Linked DNA regions of Arabidopsis thaliana. The protein of the gene in region 4 interacts with the protein of the main gene of each other region in a pairwise test. Each region holds a gene or a part of one and is shown on either strand. Other genes may lie near its edges.

The links.
Region 1: the proteins of GIF3 (region 4) and GRF1 interact in binary tests that used the Arabidopsis thaliana proteins (3 or more experiments, as listed by UniProt).
Region 2: the proteins of GIF3 (region 4) and GRF5 interact in binary tests that used the Arabidopsis thaliana proteins (3 or more experiments, as listed by UniProt).
Region 3: the proteins of GIF3 (region 4) and GRF9 interact in binary tests that used the Arabidopsis thaliana proteins (3 or more experiments, as listed by UniProt).

The regions. Positions count from the first base shown.
Region 1 is NC_003071.7:9,726,718-9,731,813, reverse strand, and holds GRF1 (growth-regulating factor 1), read right to left. Parts: upstream 3,335-5,096; 5' UTR 2,974-3,334; coding exon 2,646-2,973; intron 2,483-2,645; coding exon 2,270-2,482; intron 2,025-2,269; coding exon 1,652-2,024; intron 1,352-1,651; coding exon 673-1,351; 3' UTR 513-672; downstream 1-512. UniProt on the Arabidopsis thaliana protein: Transcription activator that plays a role in the regulation of cell expansion in leaf and cotyledons tissues.
Region 2 is NC_003074.8:4,606,396-4,610,997, forward strand, and holds GRF5 (growth-regulating factor 5), read left to right. Parts: upstream 1-1,680; 5' UTR 1,681-2,130; coding exon 2,131-2,329; intron 2,330-2,608; coding exon 2,609-3,140; intron 3,141-3,218; coding exon 3,219-3,673; intron 3,674-3,757; coding exon 3,758-3,765; 3' UTR 3,766-4,102; downstream 4,103-4,602. UniProt on the Arabidopsis thaliana protein: Transcription activator that plays a role in the regulation of cell expansion in leaf and cotyledons tissues.
Region 3 is NC_003071.7:18,743,767-18,748,177, forward strand, and holds GRF9 (growth-regulating factor 9), read left to right. Parts: upstream 1-1,573; 5' UTR 1,574-1,810; coding exon 1,811-2,036; intron 2,037-2,377; coding exon 2,378-2,848; intron 2,849-2,946; coding exon 2,947-3,132; coding exon of another isoform or gene 3,133-3,173; exon of another isoform or gene 3,174-3,224; coding exon 3,225-3,637; 3' UTR 3,638-3,868; downstream 3,869-4,411. Other genes in the region: FLA8 (FASCICLIN-like arabinogalactan protein 8), read right to left, coding at 1-293; AUR3 (ataurora3), read right to left, coding at 3,892-4,002, 4,098-4,170, 4,256-4,411. UniProt on the Arabidopsis thaliana protein: Transcription activator that plays a role in the regulation of cell expansion in leaf and cotyledons tissues.
Region 4 is NC_003075.7:355,711-359,857, forward strand, and holds GIF3 (GRF1-interacting factor 3), read left to right. Parts: upstream 1-1,634; 5' UTR 1,635-1,964; coding exon 1,965-2,048; intron 2,049-2,380; coding exon 2,381-2,457; intron 2,458-2,558; coding exon 2,559-2,667; intron 2,668-2,742; coding exon 2,743-3,016; coding exon of another isoform or gene 3,017-3,090; coding exon 3,091-3,218; 3' UTR 3,219-3,627; downstream 3,628-4,147. Other genes in the region: AT4G00840 (DHHC-type zinc finger family protein), read right to left, coding at 1-33, 121-206, 321-447, 555-646, 742-940, 1,207-1,395; ATOZI1 (monopolar spindle protein (DUF1138)), read right to left, coding at 3,838-3,983, 4,062-4,147. UniProt on the Arabidopsis thaliana protein: Transcription coactivator that plays a role in the regulation of cell expansion in leaf and cotyledons tissues.

The DNA.
Region 1 (5,096 bases), on a different chromosome or scaffold from region 4:
AAAAAATCCAAATTAAAAACGTTATGGACCATCCATACATTGAGAGATTGGTCCTCCTCCACTCTTTATAATCAATTTCATTTTTTCTTGAAGAAAAACAAAAACAGGAATAAGTGAAAGGTAGGGTTAGAGAGAGAAGAGCAAAAAGTAGTTACAGGGACCCAAAAGTGGAGAAACAGAACCCAAAAAAAAAAAAAAAAAAACTAAAGTTGGAGACAGTTGTTTTGAAGAAGTGTTCTATGTCCAATCCACAAACAATGTTGCCTCTTGTCTGCAACTAGGAAACCTCTCGTCAAAATCTCTCAAGGATCACAAATTTTGTGACACTAACACTTGGTTTTAATTTTGTGGTTAGTGAAAAAAGTAAAAATTTGTATATTTTTCAGTTTTAGAACATTGTGTACATAGACTTCTTAAAACCAGGGATTTAGCTCAACGGCTATAAGAGGAACAATAAAATCAAGAATTTGATGATTGAGAACAAATAAGAGGAAAAACAAAGAACAAAGATTATGAAGAAAAAAACACACATCTCTCCTTTAGTTTCTTCTTGCTTTATATAGAAAGAAAACAGCAACAGAAACAACAATGCATCAAGTAAGAAAAACCAGAAACAGAGAAAAACAGAGTGTTTTTGTTTTCGCAATTGTCCTTAGTTTTTTTTTTTCAGTTTCACAGAGAAGGAGCAGTAGCAGAAGTATTCATCAGCGTGGTCGGGCCAAGCGGATCTTTTCCATCACCGTTCTTATTGTTGTTATCGCCAATGATGGTGCTGCTTGCCGAGCTGCTGTTAGAAAGAGAACCAAATGTCGACTTTTGCAAGACGCCTGTTGGAGAGGAACCAAACTTGGGACTATTGGTCGTGCTGTTTAGTACCTCGCCGAGTGGACCTCCCATGGAGTTGTTATTACCCCAGGAGATTGGTATCCAGTTATTCGTCTTTTTCCCGGGGTCAAGAAACTCGGTGTTGACGCCTAATCCCATGTGGATCGCGGGGTCAAACTCACGCGATAACCTTAAAGGTGAGAGTGCAAGTTTATCTTGAACAGGGGAAGATGGAGCCATAGGGATTGACATTGAGAGCTGAGTCCAATCCGATTTCAGCTCTTCGGGCCAAGAATCGACATTGTTGTGATTCCCCGCGTGCTTGGCTTGGTTGCCGAAGTCAAGATACGATCCAAAGCCTTTGGAAGAGGTTGCATACGAGGCTTGTTTATGCGACGGATTAAGTAACGAATCAGAAGAGATGAGTCCGAATTCAAAGGGATTATTGCTTTGTTTCGGATGAGTTTCCTTCGACTGTAAGTTCATCGTGGCAGGAAAAACCGAAGCCCCTCGAGAATTTTGAACTCTGCAATGCAACAAACAACCATTAAGATTTCTTGTTAATTTGTTACATCATTGAATCATCAAGAAAAGGAGAGTAAACAGTTCATTAAAGCAAAAAAATCCAAATATATGGAATCCTAAGCCTCATATTAATAAGGAGTGGTCACAATCATAAAAGATGTAGTAATAATGAATTGGTGGGTCTACTACTTACTCATAGGGCAAAGAAGTATTTAAAAGTTGAAAAAGGTATGAACATTAAAAACTTAAGAATATGCAGATAAGTTATATCAAAAAGGCAAGAGATGTTAAACGTTTTCACCTGTTAGCCAAAGAATCTGTAGATTGATTATTGGTATGATGTTGTGTTCCAACAGCAGCGGCAAGGCTATTGTTATTATCTGATCCACGCATCGCAACAGCTGAAGTCCCCGCTGCCGCTTTGGACACAGCAGCAGCGGTAGAAGCGGCAGCAGCAGAAGCAGCGGCGGCAGCATTAGTATTGTGGCCATTTTGGCCTTCCACAGGCTTTCTTGAACGATGGCGGCCTCTGTTAATATGTCGTTCACAGTACTTTTGATCGGGAACAGCGTCCCTCGAGCACCGCCATTTCTTTCCATCTGTCCGGCGACATCTCCCTGGCTCGGGATCCATGTTACCACCGGAAAAGCCCAGATGAAAAGAGCCCCATCCAACTTCATAATCACACAAAACAAAAAAATCTCTCAAGATCTCATAAAAACACCATTCCCCTAACAAAGCAAGAATCTTTAATAAACCCACCACCAATCCATACAAGATTCAATGTTCCAAAGGACTATACACTAAAAAAGATAGTATAAAGTTAATTCTTGGCTAATGTATTGGAGATAAAAGGAATCAAAACTATTGATCAATAATCTCAAATCTTTGAAAACAAAAGATAAGGAAGAGAACTTACAAGAATTAGGAGGCAAGGAACCATAAGGGAAAAAAGATTTCTTGAGAGAGAGAAGTAAACTAGATGGAACAGGGACATTGGCTGTGATATACTTATAGATCAACGCCTGTTGCTCTAGCTCTGCCCACTGAGTCAATGAAAAAGGTCCTTTTACTCCTGTCAACAAGTTTCCATGCATGTTGCTTGTGTTCATCATTCCTCCTAAACCATATCCTGACACCACAACAAAACCAATATTCCAAAATCAAGACTTCACTAAATCAAACTCTAATCAAAACCCATTTCTGTAATCTAACTCTAAGCAAAAGCCATATACTGATTTTCAAGAAAGTAAAAAAAAAAAGCAGAGTACTTTAGTTGTTTTTACAGTTCAGACCTGAGTTTCTACAGTACTGAAGATAAGGTGAGACATCTGATTTGCCTGAAGCAGAAGAGAAGCTAAGCATGTGTTCTTGTCCTTTACGAGGATCATTAATAGTGGTAGATCTCAGTAAAGGGATGCCTTGATGAAACGACAGCGTTTTAGCAGAGGCAGGGGAAGAAGAGAATCCATCAGTTGATGTTCGTGAGAGCTTTGAACTTCTCCAGCAATCTTCACCATCGAAACCGGATCTTTCTTGCTTGTTACTGAAACCAGATCCGAGTTCAGTTTGACCCGGAGAAGAAACGGTTTCATGACCAGAAACACGAACTCCAAGATCCATAAAAAATGGATTCAGAAGGAGACAAAGAAAAAGTAGTGCTAAATAATCACTTCAGAGATTTTTCCCATGGGAGGTAATCGCTTTGAGCTCAGTGAAGAAGAGAACCGAGAGAGAGAGAGAGACAGAGGGAGAAGAACGAGGCTAAGTTTTTTTATTTTATTTTATACTCTAGATATTATTTTTATTATTTTGGAGAAAGGATATTTATTATTTAATAATAACAAAAAGTAATAATTGTGGGAGTGAGAGATATGATATAGCTTTGGGTGGAGACAAAGAATGGTACCGAAAACACAATCAAGATCTCGGACATGTTACTACAAAGAAATGAAAACTATAATCAGATGCTCTACGTATGATTTTATTTTGATTTATGTATTATTTAAGATTTTAATAATTTTGTGGTTACTTTTGTGATATGAGAAAAATAATTATAGAGGAAGCAAACAATGAACTTTTTAAGATAAAAGACATGTGGACACCACGTGAGACATGTCTCTCTAGTTTCAACTTCAAACCCTAAGAAAGGAATTTTCATTTGCTTTTTGCTTTTTGCTCTAAAATTTGTTATGGTATGCATTTTTACCAAACGTTGCAAAGGGAAAGATGGGGTATACTTTAAGTGAGATTTTAGTATGAAAGAAGTTAGAGAATGAGATTGTCGTATTGAAATAATAAATATAGTATTGAGTTGAGTATCAAATATCTATCAGATTCACGTGGTTCCCAATTGTATTTGGACTGTCTAATGGTGTTCTCCAATGTACCCCAGCTGATTATAGTTACATGGGCCATTTATGTTTTTCAATCCTATCTCTTGGGTTTAAGTTTTATTACAACTTTTTTTTTTCAAATGGCCTTATCCCTTATGTAACATAAGTACATAAGTACATCATATTCATCGCTAGTGAAACTCATATCAATTAGGTTATGAATAATTTGTATTTGAAACCTTAAATCAGAAATTAGATAAGATTTTAATGGTTATATAAATTATATGAGTCAGTTCATTTTTTGCCAATAAGTTTTGAATCGGAAGTCTATAATCTAATATGATATTAGAATATGATTTATAATTCGTGTCTATCCCAATCGAAAATCGGTTCGATCCTAGCAAAAAAATTTTAGACAGCAGATTTTGCAAACAATTCTAGGGGCATTACTTTGAAAAATGTGCATCTTGAGTTTTGCATTCGTATCAAATGTTCAGAAATTCAAATTCACCTTACCTTTCTATTTTCCAAAAAGGTTAAAATGATTTTTTTTTTTTTAATTTGCTTTGAAATTAAGAAGTTGGGCTTTTCGATTCACATAAGCCTTTTCGTCGTAATCAAATATTAAAGGTGCCTAGAAGTCTAGGATGGGAGCTGGATCCAAACTATACTAAAACCATGCACGTGATAACCTGATACCCACCTCATATGAACCCAAACCATACTAGTTCTTTCTAAGACAAACAGAAGAAGAAAAAAAACACTTGCCTTTAAGCTAATAGCTAATGGTTTGGAATTAAACAATAGAAATATTTACTACGTTAAGTTGACAACGTAAAAACAAAAAATACTGTTAACTTATATTAGAATATTTTTTTATTAGTAATGGAATTTTTATTAACAGTTTAAAATATAATTATTACCCAAAACAAAAATGTTTTTATATTTTTGTTGATTTATAAAATATCTTATGATTTTTTTTTATCAAATATCTTATTAGTCATAAATATAAAATTTAATAGATATTAAAAGTTTACTAAAAGAAAAATAATTATTAGAGTCATATCAATATTTATAACAAAAATGAATATCTTTTGTTAACATAATCAATTTGTCAGTTAATTTTGTGGAACCCTGAACACAATAACCATTTAAAGGTTAAAAGTAGCAATATTGACAACTAAACGTTTTATTATAAGAATTCAAAACCTTAAAGGTATAAACTGCAAGTTTTTGCTCTATTAGATTATTTATGGGATTAAGAATATACATTTGATAAAATTAACAAACTATTTTGTTATTTTTTCATTCAAAAGAAAATTTATTATTACTCAAAAATACAATAATGTTACACTCCCATCACTAGCTACTACTACTAAACAGAAATTCAGTTTGGTTTCGAGTAGATCC
Region 2 (4,602 bases), on a different chromosome or scaffold from region 4:
CATCTTACATATCTCCATATACGCATGCATATCATTTTCGAACCAATTTAGAAGGTGATGTATATAATCAAAAGTATTTAGGATGATGGTTTATCGCGTGAACACCATTTTGTTTAAGTACGTGGTCATCGCAAGGTAACCATCTTTATTTTCTTGGGTTGATCTTCACTAGCTATATATTAACCAATTACATATGTATTATTTTGTACTGAAGAAAGGATATAATTTGTAATCGCCAAATGATTGAATTAGTATTTGCTAATTACAAAAATTTGTAGAAATCGCGATAATTATCAACTTTTTTACTATATCCCATCATTCTACTATTACGCAATGTTATCAATTGTACTAGTTTGTTTCATCCACTATGTAAAATCATTCAAACCCTAAAGTCGATGCTCATCAGCTCATGTATATGTATGTATCATGTATATGTACATAAGATATAAAACCTTTATAGATGTGCATGTAAAAGAATGGTAGATAGTAGTAGTAGGTGTGTAAGGAGAAAGATCTAGGGGGCTTCAAAAAAAGGAGAGAAAAGGACAGAGCATGTGAAAAGAGACAGAGAAACAAACAGAGGAGTGAACAGTCTTACTCTTTTTTTTTTCTATGCACTTAATGAACCCAACCCTCTCTGTATATTTCTGATTCTTCACATGTCTTCCTCTTCTTTTTTATTCCGAAAACTTTTCTTCAGTAAAAACCAATGCCGAAAAAAATACATAATAAAAACGACAAAATATCTAACATTTTTTATATAAAAAGGACAAAAGTACTTTCACTTCACTTGCAACCAAACAAACCTAGTCCCCTTCTTTATCCAATGGTCTCTCCCCTGCTCTCTATTTCTCATCTAAACACCCTTTTCTTTCTTTCTTATTTACCATTTTGCCAACTTATGTAAAAGATGTTAAGAAGAAAATGTGAAAATTTAGTAAAAATCTCTCTTTTGTATTGTCGTCAGAAACTGTAAAATAATCTTACTCTTTTTCAAGTCAGCATATAAGTTTGGTTTCTTCTCCCGAGTCAGAGATTCGTGCAGTGATGATACAAGAAGCTTATTCCGAATTCTTTTCATAAATACTCGTATTTCCTTCTTCTTTTTTTTTTTCTTTTTTTTAACATCTATCTGTTCTTCTTGCATCTATCTGATTTTCCTCTGTCTTTTAGACAGTAATAACAGAGCTCACTAAATGTAATAAATAAAAAAATGAGCTCAATAAAAAGGTAAATGGCACTCATTTTTAGGCCATCAAGTGTTGGGATACAGCTGAAATTAAAAAGGCGTCAGCTCAAAGGAAAAAATAAATAAAAAAGATTCCCAAAAATCAATGCACTTTTATAGAAAAAAATACACATAATTTCAAAAAATACTTAAATTTTGAAAAATAAGATGAAGAAAGGATTGAGAAGAGAGGAAAGAGTAGTCAGAGAGACAGGAGCATCAAGTGCTGCAGAAGAAGCAACAGGAACACTGGGCCTGAGTCTCTTCAGATTTGCCAGTCTTTATAGGACCACACTCTTCTTCTTCATCCCCCTTACATACATTTTATCTATTTTTACATTTTACAATATTGGATATTTTAATGTTGTTTTGATTTTACACTACATGGCAAAACTCCTTAAAAGCTCTTGTCCTGATGTGATTCTTTTTTCTTTTCAACACTGTCTAAATATCTCTCTCTTCTTTGTGATCACTCTTTGATTTATTAACTTTCTGATTACCATTCCCCCCAAAATAAACCCTACTAGAGTGTGACTAATTGTATAGTAATCTCTATTGTGTAATAATCTTTTATCTTTCCTCAATACAAAAAAGTAGGGTATATATATAAAAGAGGGAGTGGCCTCGTGTAGAGAAAGAACCTAGCTAGTGTTCATGCAATTTGCATCTGAGGAATATATGCTTAGAAAGAGAGAGAGAGAGAGAGAGAGAGAGAGAGAGAGAGAGAGAGATATCAAACCAGAGGAAAAGAGTGACAGAGAAAGTGGTCATCTTTGTCTGTCTCTGTCCGAAACTCAGGAGCCCTAATCTCTGAATCCATCAAGAAAGCTCTTTCTCTTCCTTCTTTTATGCTTCTGAATTTGCTACATATATAAACTATCTGAAGAAAGCTAGAGAATAAGATGATGAGTCTAAGTGGAAGTAGCGGGAGAACAATAGGAAGGCCTCCATTTACACCAACACAATGGGAAGAACTGGAACATCAAGCCCTAATCTACAAGTACATGGTCTCTGGTGTTCCTGTCCCACCTGAGCTCATCTTCTCCATTAGAAGAAGCTTGGACACTTCCTTGGTCTCTAGACTCCTTCCTCACCAATCCCGTAAGCCCTATACCTATACTTAATTTTCTTTCTTTCATGTTTTCTTTTCTTGCATAAAGTTTCAATCTTTTGTTGATTCTCATGCCCCCAAAGTTTTCAGCTTTATGTGTTTTAGAGTGATTTGGTTTCTGGTTAAAGTCTCTAGCTTTTTTTTTCAACGACCACTTTTAAAAACTCAGTTTCCACAGTCTTACTTTTAATGATTTTGGAACTTAAGGTCCTAATTAGGGTTTTACATCATGATTAATTTTAGGGTTTCGTTTTAATTAAATGATGCAGTTGGATGGGGGTGTTACCAGATGGGATTTGGGAGAAAACCAGATCCAGAGCCAGGAAGATGCAGAAGAACAGATGGTAAGAAATGGAGATGCTCAAGAGAAGCTTACCCAGATTCGAAGTACTGTGAAAAACACATGCACAGAGGAAGAAACCGTGCCAGAAAATCTCTTGATCAGAATCAGACAACAACAACTCCTTTAACATCACCATCTCTCTCATTCACCAACAACAACAACCCAAGTCCCACCTTGTCTTCTTCTTCTTCCTCTAATTCCTCTTCTACTACTTATTCTGCTTCTTCTTCTTCAATGGATGCCTACAGTAACAGTAATAGGTTTGGGCTTGGTGGAAGTAGTAGTAACACTAGAGGTTATTTCAACAGCCATTCTCTTGATTATCCTTATCCTTCTACTTCACCCAAACAACAACAACAAACTCTTCATCATGCTTCCGCTTTGTCACTTCATCAAAATACTAATTCTACTTCTCAGTTCAATGTCTTAGCCTCTGCTACTGACCACAAAGACTTCAGGTTCTGTGATCTTATCTTTAGTTTCTCTTGTTGATCTTTTATGGAAACTTTTATTGATGGATTGTTTTTTGAATTCAGGTACTTTCAAGGGATTGGGGAGAGAGTTGGAGGAGTTGGGGAGAGAACGTTCTTTCCAGAAGCATCTAGAAGCTTTCAAGATTCTCCATACCATCATCACCAACAACCGTTAGCAACAGTGATGAATGATCCGTACCACCACTGTAGTACTGATCATAATAAGATTGATCATCATCACACATACTCATCCTCATCATCATCTCAACATCTTCATCATGATCATGATCATAGACAGCAACAGTGTTTTGTTTTGGGCGCCGACATGTTCAACAAACCTACAAGAAGTGTCCTTGCAAACTCATCAAGACAAGATCAAAATCAAGAAGAAGATGAGAAAGATTCATCAGAGTCGTCCAAGAAGTCTCTACATCACTTCTTTGGTGAGGACTGGGCACAGAACAAGAACAGTTCAGATTCTTGGCTTGACCTTTCTTCCCACTCAAGACTCGACACTGGTAATTAATTAATCTGCAGACGTAATCTTATGATCTATGCTAATTATTGATAGTTTCAAAATTAGTTTAAATTTATTTTCTCAGGTAGCTAATTAAGTAGAGCTGGCATCAATGATGGATCTGCACCAACACACACAACTGTGAAATGTTGAAGAAGAGTCACATTTCACATCTATTTCCGTGGAACAATGAGACAAGACACTGTTTGCAGAATCCTATATGTATTTTTTCTATCTTTTTCTATGTGTGTTAGGTCCAACAAGAAAAAGTGATCCGACAGATATATCTGTATGTGTTCTCTTGCTTTCTCAAGAAATCAGATTTTATTTTACTGTCGCTGATAGCAACAAAAGAAAACATGACTTGATTTGTGAGGGGTATCGTTATATATAATTTATTTGTTTCTTAGGATGCAAGCATCTATATAGTTTCACACATATAATCTAGATTTTTTCTAAGGCCATGTTCTGATTAACTTACTTTAAATGTAAAACATTCATGCAGAGGAATAATAGTAGACTAGGTTGCAAATTCTGTAGGGCAAAGGATACGATTATCCGCAATTAGTTAAAGTTTTATATGTAAACACAGACACAAATAATCAATTACTATCTAAATGGCTGTATGTTGAGATTATCCGCAGGTTATGAAATGACGTTACATAGGCCCAAGTCTTGAATCACGCATTTACGAAACGAGAGTATGGTCAAAACTCTACATAATATGGCAAAACATTAAACTTATTATTATAAGAAGAAGAACCATAAATTTTGTTGTCGTTTATAGAAAACAAACAATCATATACAACTTTTGGTGTATGCTTCCTTCCATGTATGTGCTCCTTTAGCAAAAGGAAAGATGGGAGAGTTAAAAGACAAAACGTCATGACTCTTGATCCATTAATCCTTTTACGTGCGTATGAGTACTTG
Region 3 (4,411 bases), on a different chromosome or scaffold from region 4:
TGTGGATCGTAGTAATCGAGGAGGACGAGGAGGCTTAAAGCGCTTTTAATAACGGAGAGTGGATGTTTTCCGGCGAGAGCAGACATTGCGCCATTGTTAAGGACGAGAACTGTAATCGTCGTGCGGCTGTTGATCTCGTCGGCGAGCTTCGTCTGAGAAAGGTAGCTGTTGAAGGAAGAGTAATCTGGAGAATCAGCGAGGATTTGAGTGATGTTGTGGCTACTCACGGTGGAAGCAAAGGCGAGGAGGGAGAAAGTGAAGGCGAGGAGTGAGAATGTCTGTGACGCCGCCATGATGAGACGGTTTTGAGTTTTTTCAAGTGTCAGTGTGGAGCAGAGGAAGTGGAGAAGACTGAGTGAGAAGAGAGATGAAGTTAAAAGAGAAGGATGATTGTTAACCACGGTTAAATTTTGATCATGGTTAGGTTAGAGTATTTGACTAGAGTTAATTTTGCCTTTATATTTTTGAAATGTGTGTTGTTTATAAGAAGTGAGTTGGGTTGGATTGGGGCCATGTGTTCTTTTTCGGACATAGCTGGAAGAAGAAAAGAGGCCATTCCATTTAATTGTCTTGTTGTTTATATTACACCAAAAAATTAGAGATTTGGGCTTCTTTTTACTCTTAGATATTTGTTTGGCCTAAATAAAACACTGGAGATTGTTTCTCGTTTTCTTCATCTAAATTGATCAATAGTGTCGAGTTTTATATGTGGTGGTCAGTGTATTCAGTAATGCTATCTATTTTGTTATCGAAAATGTTTTATATACCATAAATTGTTTGTGGATTGGTGTAGTGACCAATACAATATGTATCTTACTCAACAATGATTCAAACCTGACATTTCGTATAGTAGAAAACAATATATAAAGACCAATACATATAAATATAAAAGTATTGATATTATGTAATCATCTACAGTATAATATGTATGATTCAAATTCTATATATTTATTTCGGTTGCCGACGTTCATGTTCTACATATAAATAGAATTATCCACAATTCGGTGAGGACCAATATTGAATCACTGCTTCCCATTATAGGAATTTTTAGAGCTGTTAAAGCATTACTTTACACGTGTGGACAATATTTAAAAAACCACTAGTGAGTGAGTATATGATACAAGCATTACATGATCAAACTTTCCTTATATACTATAAATAAAAATAAAGTATTTTGCTCTGTTTTTATTTTCCTGCCTACTGAAAAATATAGATTTTAGAAATACAAAAATGTGACCAAGATGAAAAGGCATCAGGTGAAAGAGAAATGTTATAAGTAAAGGCCAATGAGAAGCAACAAATTTTGAATCATTAAAGCAAAAAAAAAAAAAAAAAGAAGAAGAGTAGAGCCCAACTTAATGGAGTAGTAGTAATGGGCCTTTTATGATAAGATGGGCCCATATAGAGGAATAAGAACGTGGAGATGTAATGATGTATAGTGGAGCAGCTGGACAGAGGAGTTAACAGTCTCTCTGTGGCATTGTTTAAAGAGGGAAACTCAACTTTTTTTATTGTCCGAAAAGTATTCAAATAAGGCTGAAAAACGCTGACGCATTTGTCAGAAACCTGACAACTGCCTTTAAATCTCTTCACACTCGCCTCTTCGTCTTTCCTCTGTTTTTCTTTTACTCTTTCTCTCTCTATTGAACAGTAGCGAGCAGAGCAAGAGATTTTAGTATCTGTTTGGTTTTGTTGTTAAAGCTTTTTCTTCTTGGGAGGTGGGTTTTTGCTTCTCTGTGTCGCTAGTTTCAAAAGCTGTCTCCTTTTTCTTGGAATTGAATAAAGCTTCCCCAAAAATCCAATTTTTGTTATGAAGATGCAGAGCCCTAAAATGGAGCAGGAGGAGGTTGAGGAGGAGAGGATGAGGAATAAGTGGCCGTGGATGAAGGCGGCGCAGTTAATGGAGTTTCGGATGCAAGCTTTGGTGTATAGATACATAGAGGCTGGTCTCCGTGTGCCTCATCATCTCGTGGTGCCTATTTGGAACAGTCTTGCTCTCTCTTCTTCCTCCAATTACAACTATCACTCTTCTTCTCGTAAGTAATTTGACATTCGAGTTTTCTTTTCAAGAAATTCTTAGGAGTATATGCGTGATAGTTGAGCTAGGGTAAGAAAAAGACACAATTTAGAAGATTTTAGACAACATAACGACAAGTCTTGGACCTCAGAATCTAGAGAAGTTTATGTTCTGATTCAACAGTTGTAAAGTTTGGGGTATTGTTGTGGAAATGCTTGATGGGTTTTATTGTGCTTATTTAACTTCCTGAACATGTTTTTGGCTTTTGGGTTCTGAGTTGGAGAAGTTAAAAGATTTACATACACAACAAACTTCTGTTGACTGAATTTGATTTTGTGCCTATTGGGGATTGAGTTGCAGTGTTGAGTAACAAGGGAGTAACCCATATCGACACGTTGGAAACTGAACCAACTAGGTGCAGGAGAACAGATGGGAAGAAATGGCGCTGTAGCAACACGGTCCTTCTATTCGAGAAGTACTGTGAACGGCACATGCATAGAGGTCGTAAACGTTCAAGAAAGCTTGTGGAATCTTCTTCTGAGGTTGCTTCATCATCAACCAAATACGACAACACTTATGGTTTGGATAGGTATAACGAGAGTCAGAGTCATCTTCATGGGACAATCTCGGGTTCTAGTAATGCGCAGGTAGTTACCATTGCTTCACTGCCTAGTGCCAGATCCTGTGAAAATGTCATTCGTCCGTCTTTAGTGATCTCTGAATTCACAAACAAAAGTGTGAGTCACGGCAGAAAGAACATGGAGATGAGTTATGATGACTTTATTAATGAAAAAGAGGCGAGTATGTGTGTTGGAGTTGTTCCTCTTCAAGGTATCATGATACCATCATACTCACAACAGAAAAATATCTATAGAATTCATTTCTTCATTGCTCCATGGATTGACCAGGTTCCATTATTTCATTACTAGGTGATGAGAGCAAACCTTCGGTTCAAAAGTTCTTCCCTGAGGTATCTGATAAATGCTTAGAAGCTGCAAAATTCTCAAGCAACAGGAAGAATGATATAATTGCAAGAAGCAGAGAATGGAAGAATATGAATGTTAATGGTGGTTTGTTTCATGGTATCCACTTTTCTCCAGACACTGTTCTTCAAGGTATTTTACCTTTGCAACCTTGGCTTATCGTCATTTCATAGGGATTTTCAGACATGACCTTCTGGGTCTTATATCTTGCTTCTTCGTTGTAGAACGTGGTTGTTTTCGTTTACAAGGAGTTGAAACAGACAATGAACCAGGAAGGTGCCGAAGAACAGATGGGAAGAAGTGGAGATGCAGCAAAGATGTTTTGTCTGGTCAGAAGTACTGCGATAAGCACATGCATAGAGGTATGAAGAAGAAGCATCCAGTTGATACTACTAACTCACATGAGAATGCCGGGTTTAGCCCGTTAACCGTGGAAACAGCTGTTAGATCGGTTGTGCCTTGCAAAGATGGAGATGACCAGAAGCATTCTGTTTCAGTCATGGGAATTACACTGCCCCGAGTTTCTGATGAGAAGAGCACTAGCAGTTGCAGTACCGACACTACCATTACTGACACAGCTTTAAGGGGTGAAGACGACGATGAGGAGTACTTGTCTTTGTTTTCACCAGGTGTTTAGAAACATAGAAATGTTGTCGAGGTTCAAATGATGTTTTTAGTTTCAATCTAAGGATCTTTCTGTGTTAGATGTTAGAAGAAGTCAAATCACAAAAAAATATCGAGACACGAATTTTAGCTAAGATTATATTGTGCTGAAATGAGATAATATATCACATGGAAAGTGCTTTTGCTAAACTTCTAAGACATTAGTCTCATAACATTAAATTACATATAAGCTACTTGTCCTGACTCCTGAGATTGGGAGAGAATACATCAAATATCAATTGAGGCACACACACCTTTCGGATCTGCGTTCTTGACAATCCATGGATGTTGCATGATCTTCTCAATAGAGAGTCGTTTGGAGGGATCCTTAACAAGAAGCTGCAAAAGATTTAAAACAACTATATGTTAATGCTTAATAACTAGTCAAGCAAGAGAGTCGTTGTGGGTATGCTTTAGCTTGGTTGGGTGTGTACCTGACTGATAAGATTTTTGGCTTCTTCTGAAACATTCGGTGTAAGAGGAAAACTCAGATCAATCTTAAGAATTCTGCATGACAGTGAATACAAAACGTCATCAGGAGCTGAGCTTCTGTAATTTTCTACAAAAGATAAAAAGTCTAGTCTTTTCTTACCTCTTGAATGTATCTTTTTGACTCTCGGCTTCGAATGGAGGGTTACCGTAGAGAAACTCGTAACACAGTATGCCTAAGGTCCAGTTATCAACTGCATAATCATGATCTCTATTTTCTACCATCTCAGGTGCTAAGTAATCCAAGGTTCCACACATT
Region 4 (4,147 bases):
TTTCCATCTGACTTCTCCATTTTTCTCATGAACCTAAAAAAATAAGACAATGATTCAGAGAAGAGACTCATATTTTCAAGACTTAGATTGTTTGTGAAAGCAAGAACATAAAAGATTTACCTCAACTGAAGTAGTGTTGGATGAGAGAAGAGAAATATGCATGACTACGAAACAAAGAAGGCTGAGAACGAACGCAAAGTTAAGAACTGCATCAAGGGGATAGAATCTGTAAGAAACATAAAGACGGAAAATGAGACCCAGAAAAAAGCTAAGCACTTTCTGGGAAAAGGAAAACGAGAAAAAGAACCGTTTATACTCACCGAATGCCAGAACGAGAGAGGCCAGTTTACCCGGAGAAGAAGAATGCTTTATAGCTTGGCTGAAGAATTCAATGAAACTAGGAAGCAAGACAATAACATCCAACATTGTCTCAAGAAAAGTATAGAACTACAAATTAAAAAAAGAGGGTGAAGAAATCAGCAAATCAAATAATCCCAATGCTCGCTTAAACCTTTTAAGAACCATAAGAGACTACAATGGAAATGAATATTTACCAGAAAGAGAAGGAAAAACTTGTAATTGCGTGCTCCAACACAGTTTACAATCCAAACACAATGATGATCCATCTTAAGAACACATCTTTGACCTACATAAGGAAACAAAGAACCGAATAAAGCTTTCTTTCTCTATCAGTAGAAACACAAGCAGAACATAGTATAAACAAATCAGATTTCGCCTTACACACAGAACAATGATGGCAACGAGGCGGCTTAACATTCCGGCATTTGGTACAGTAACCTAAAGAGCCAAAAGCTCCTTGATCTGTCGAAGTACCAGCCTCCAAACTGTCACCACCTCCCATTTCTCTTCTGAAATGCTCAGGAACAGAACCTGGGTCTGTAAAAACTGTTGTGAAGTAGCTCCACAACAGCATTATCAGCTGCAAAGAACCAAGCAAATCAGAAGTATAATTGTAAACCTAAACTCAGGGAGCCTAAACATTTACTAACAATCAATGGTCTAAACAATGATTATGTATCTACACTGCTTCATGCTTCATAACTACATTGCATTTCTCATTCTCTTGGCTACATAAGTTTCATGCCACATCCCTAAGTTTAAGGTTTAGGGGTTAAGTAGCAGAAAACCTAGACTTACAATTCCAGAAACAAAACCTAATCTGAAATTATGAGACTTGGAAATTACCAGGAAATGGAAAACAAAGATGATTAAGGCAGCGAGGGCGGATAAAGCTCCATGGTCTCCGCGGATCAAGATCGGCCACCATGTGCTAACTACGACGGCGTAGTAAGATACACCAACGACGGCGACGACAAGAAGGATCATGAAATAGCCGAGGACTTTCAGACCGGAGCAGAACCGGAAAAGGTTCATCTCCAGCCTGGTCAAAGGGAGAATCCGGACAATTCTTCGAGTCCGAGCCGGGAACAACCGCCGTAAAATATCCGGAGCCACGGTGAGGGATCGGAGTTTGCTTGGTTCGGAGGACAACGACGAATCGCCGTCGTGGAGCTGATATTGATACAGATTTAAAGTAACCTTCTTCTTGACACAGAAGCTTTCATAATTCTTTATAAGGCCCATTAACAGGCCCAATAAATAATAACAGCTACAAATGTTGTCTTTTTTTGGTTATCGTAGAGCTGACGAAAAATCAGACAAGGTGCCACGTGTACATTCGGTGGGGGAGACAAATTAATTGGTTGGGGGACTTTTTTGTCCTACGATTTCCCAGAAACCTCGTCGGCGAAATTCAAACAAATCAAAAGTCTTAAATTTAAGGATAATCCAAAATATTCGTTTGTTGAATATTTTTGCATCAGTTTGTTTTGCATTGGGCTCTTAAACCAATTCTATCACTCAGAATTATTGTTTTGTAATAATCGTGAGAAGAAACTTTAGGGTTTCACTGTTTCAGAGTTTTGATTGGTGAATTATAAAAGATGCAGCAATCTCCACAGATGATTCCGATGGTTCTTCCTTCATTTCCGCCCACCAATAATATCACCACCGAACAGATCCAAAAGGTTACTACTTTACTTTCTATATTTTTTGTCTTTCTGTTGTTTAGTCATAATGTCTGTTTATCGTAGCTTTGAAATTGGTTGTGTAATGATGTTTTTGAGTAGTTTAAACTGTTGTAATGAACTTTCCTTCTTGAGTATGATTTGTTTTAAAGTGTCATTGTTTTCCGCTTTAACTTTTTTTTGTTACTGGAATTGGATGTACAATCATGAGTTTGGAGTTTTTTTTTGAGTGAAAACAGAGTATTTGTATGCATATGAGATTTGAAAGCTTAAAATCAGATTGTGAAGATGACATGTTGACACAGTGAGTCACTTATTGCTGCTTCTTGCAGTATCTTGATGAGAACAAGAAGCTGATAATGGCGATCTTGGAAAATCAGAACCTCGGTAAACTTGCAGAATGTGCTCAGTAAGTGTGGGATTCTCGATACCAAGACCGAGCTATGTTAGCTTTACTGATGGTAAATAGAATATTAATAATAAAACATGGTTCTTGCTTGATTCTTTTAGGTATCAAGCTCTTCTCCAGAAGAATTTGATGTATCTCGCTGCAATTGCGGATGCTCAACCTCAGCCACCAGCAGCTACACTAACATCAGGAGCCATGACTCCCCAAGCAGTAAGTTTCTGTTTTGATCAGTTGAAAAACAAAACATTTTGGTTCTTATAGTTTGTGTGTGTTTGGTTTCTGTAGATGGCTCCTAATCCGTCATCAATGCAGCCACCACCAAGCTACTTCATGCAGCAACATCAAGCTGTGGGAATGGCTCAACAAATACCTCCTGGGATTTTCCCTCCTAGAGGTCCATTGCAATTTGGTAGCCCGCATCAGTTTCTGGATCCGCAGCAACAGTTACATCAACAAGCTATGCAAGGGCACATGGGGATTAGACCAATGGGTTTGAATAATAACAACGGACTGCAACATCAAATGCACCACCATGAAACTGCTCTTGCCGCAAACAATGGTAATATTTGGTTTTACAGCAGTTTGGAACTTATTATCACATTACTGATTTTCACCTTCTTTCTCTACCAAAAGCGGGTCCTAACGATGCTAGTGGAGGAGGTAAACCGGATGGGACCAATATGAGCCAGAGTGGAGCTGATGGGCAAGGTGGCTCAGCCGCTAGACATGGCGGTGGTGATGCAAAAACTGAAGGAAAATGAAATAGAGGAAGAATAAGTGATGCTTCTTGTTGATATCAATTAGGTTCTACCTTTCATTTTTACTTTCTTCACGATGATATAAAAAAAAGGTTTTGTCATTTTATGAGTTAGTCTCTGTTAAAAGGGTTCTGAGACAGTTGAGTTTCAGTTCCTAGATGGATGTGGAATGGTTCACATTCACATGTACAATGTTAAATGTTGTTGTATGGTATTAGTGTCACCGGTTCAATTTGGTGTATGAACCGGGTTTAGAATCACGTTTACCTGATAGTTTGCCTCCAGGTTTGTGTGATAATTAATTCCAAGGCTTGAGATGAAAAGTAACAGTTTTAAAAATGTTTACAGAATCAGCGATAACAAAATTCCAAACCAAACAAACCAATAATGTCTTAGAAGTTTTTCTTTTTGGCTCGATTTCATTTATCGTCAAAATCAACAAACCTTACAAAAGTTATGCATCGGGGAAAAGCTTGATCCGAATAATGTGTTACGCATCAACACAAATTATTACTATAACCAGCTAGAGCAATCAGCCGATCCTCAAATCAAACACAAAAGAGCAGATATTCGAAAATGAATCCATAACGAATGAGAACGATGCACGAGAAGGCATCAAAAGTTATTCAGGACGTGACTTGACGATGAAATTCTGGCGACTGATAGGGTTCATGACGACGGGAGGACCAGCAACTCTTGGCCATGCTTGTAATCTCTCTTCAGTCGCAGCACCCCATTCCTTGTTAGTAATAGTTCCTGGTGTAGTACCTGAGAGTTCAAAACAAACCAAACCAAATTTAGCTTTCTGGATACATCATAAGTAGCTTTATAAGGTTTAAAACTTGCCTCCAAAAAGCTTATCATCAGAAATAACTTTGTCACACACGTAAGCTACTACCGCAGATCCCGCAAGGGCACCGATAATGTATGTA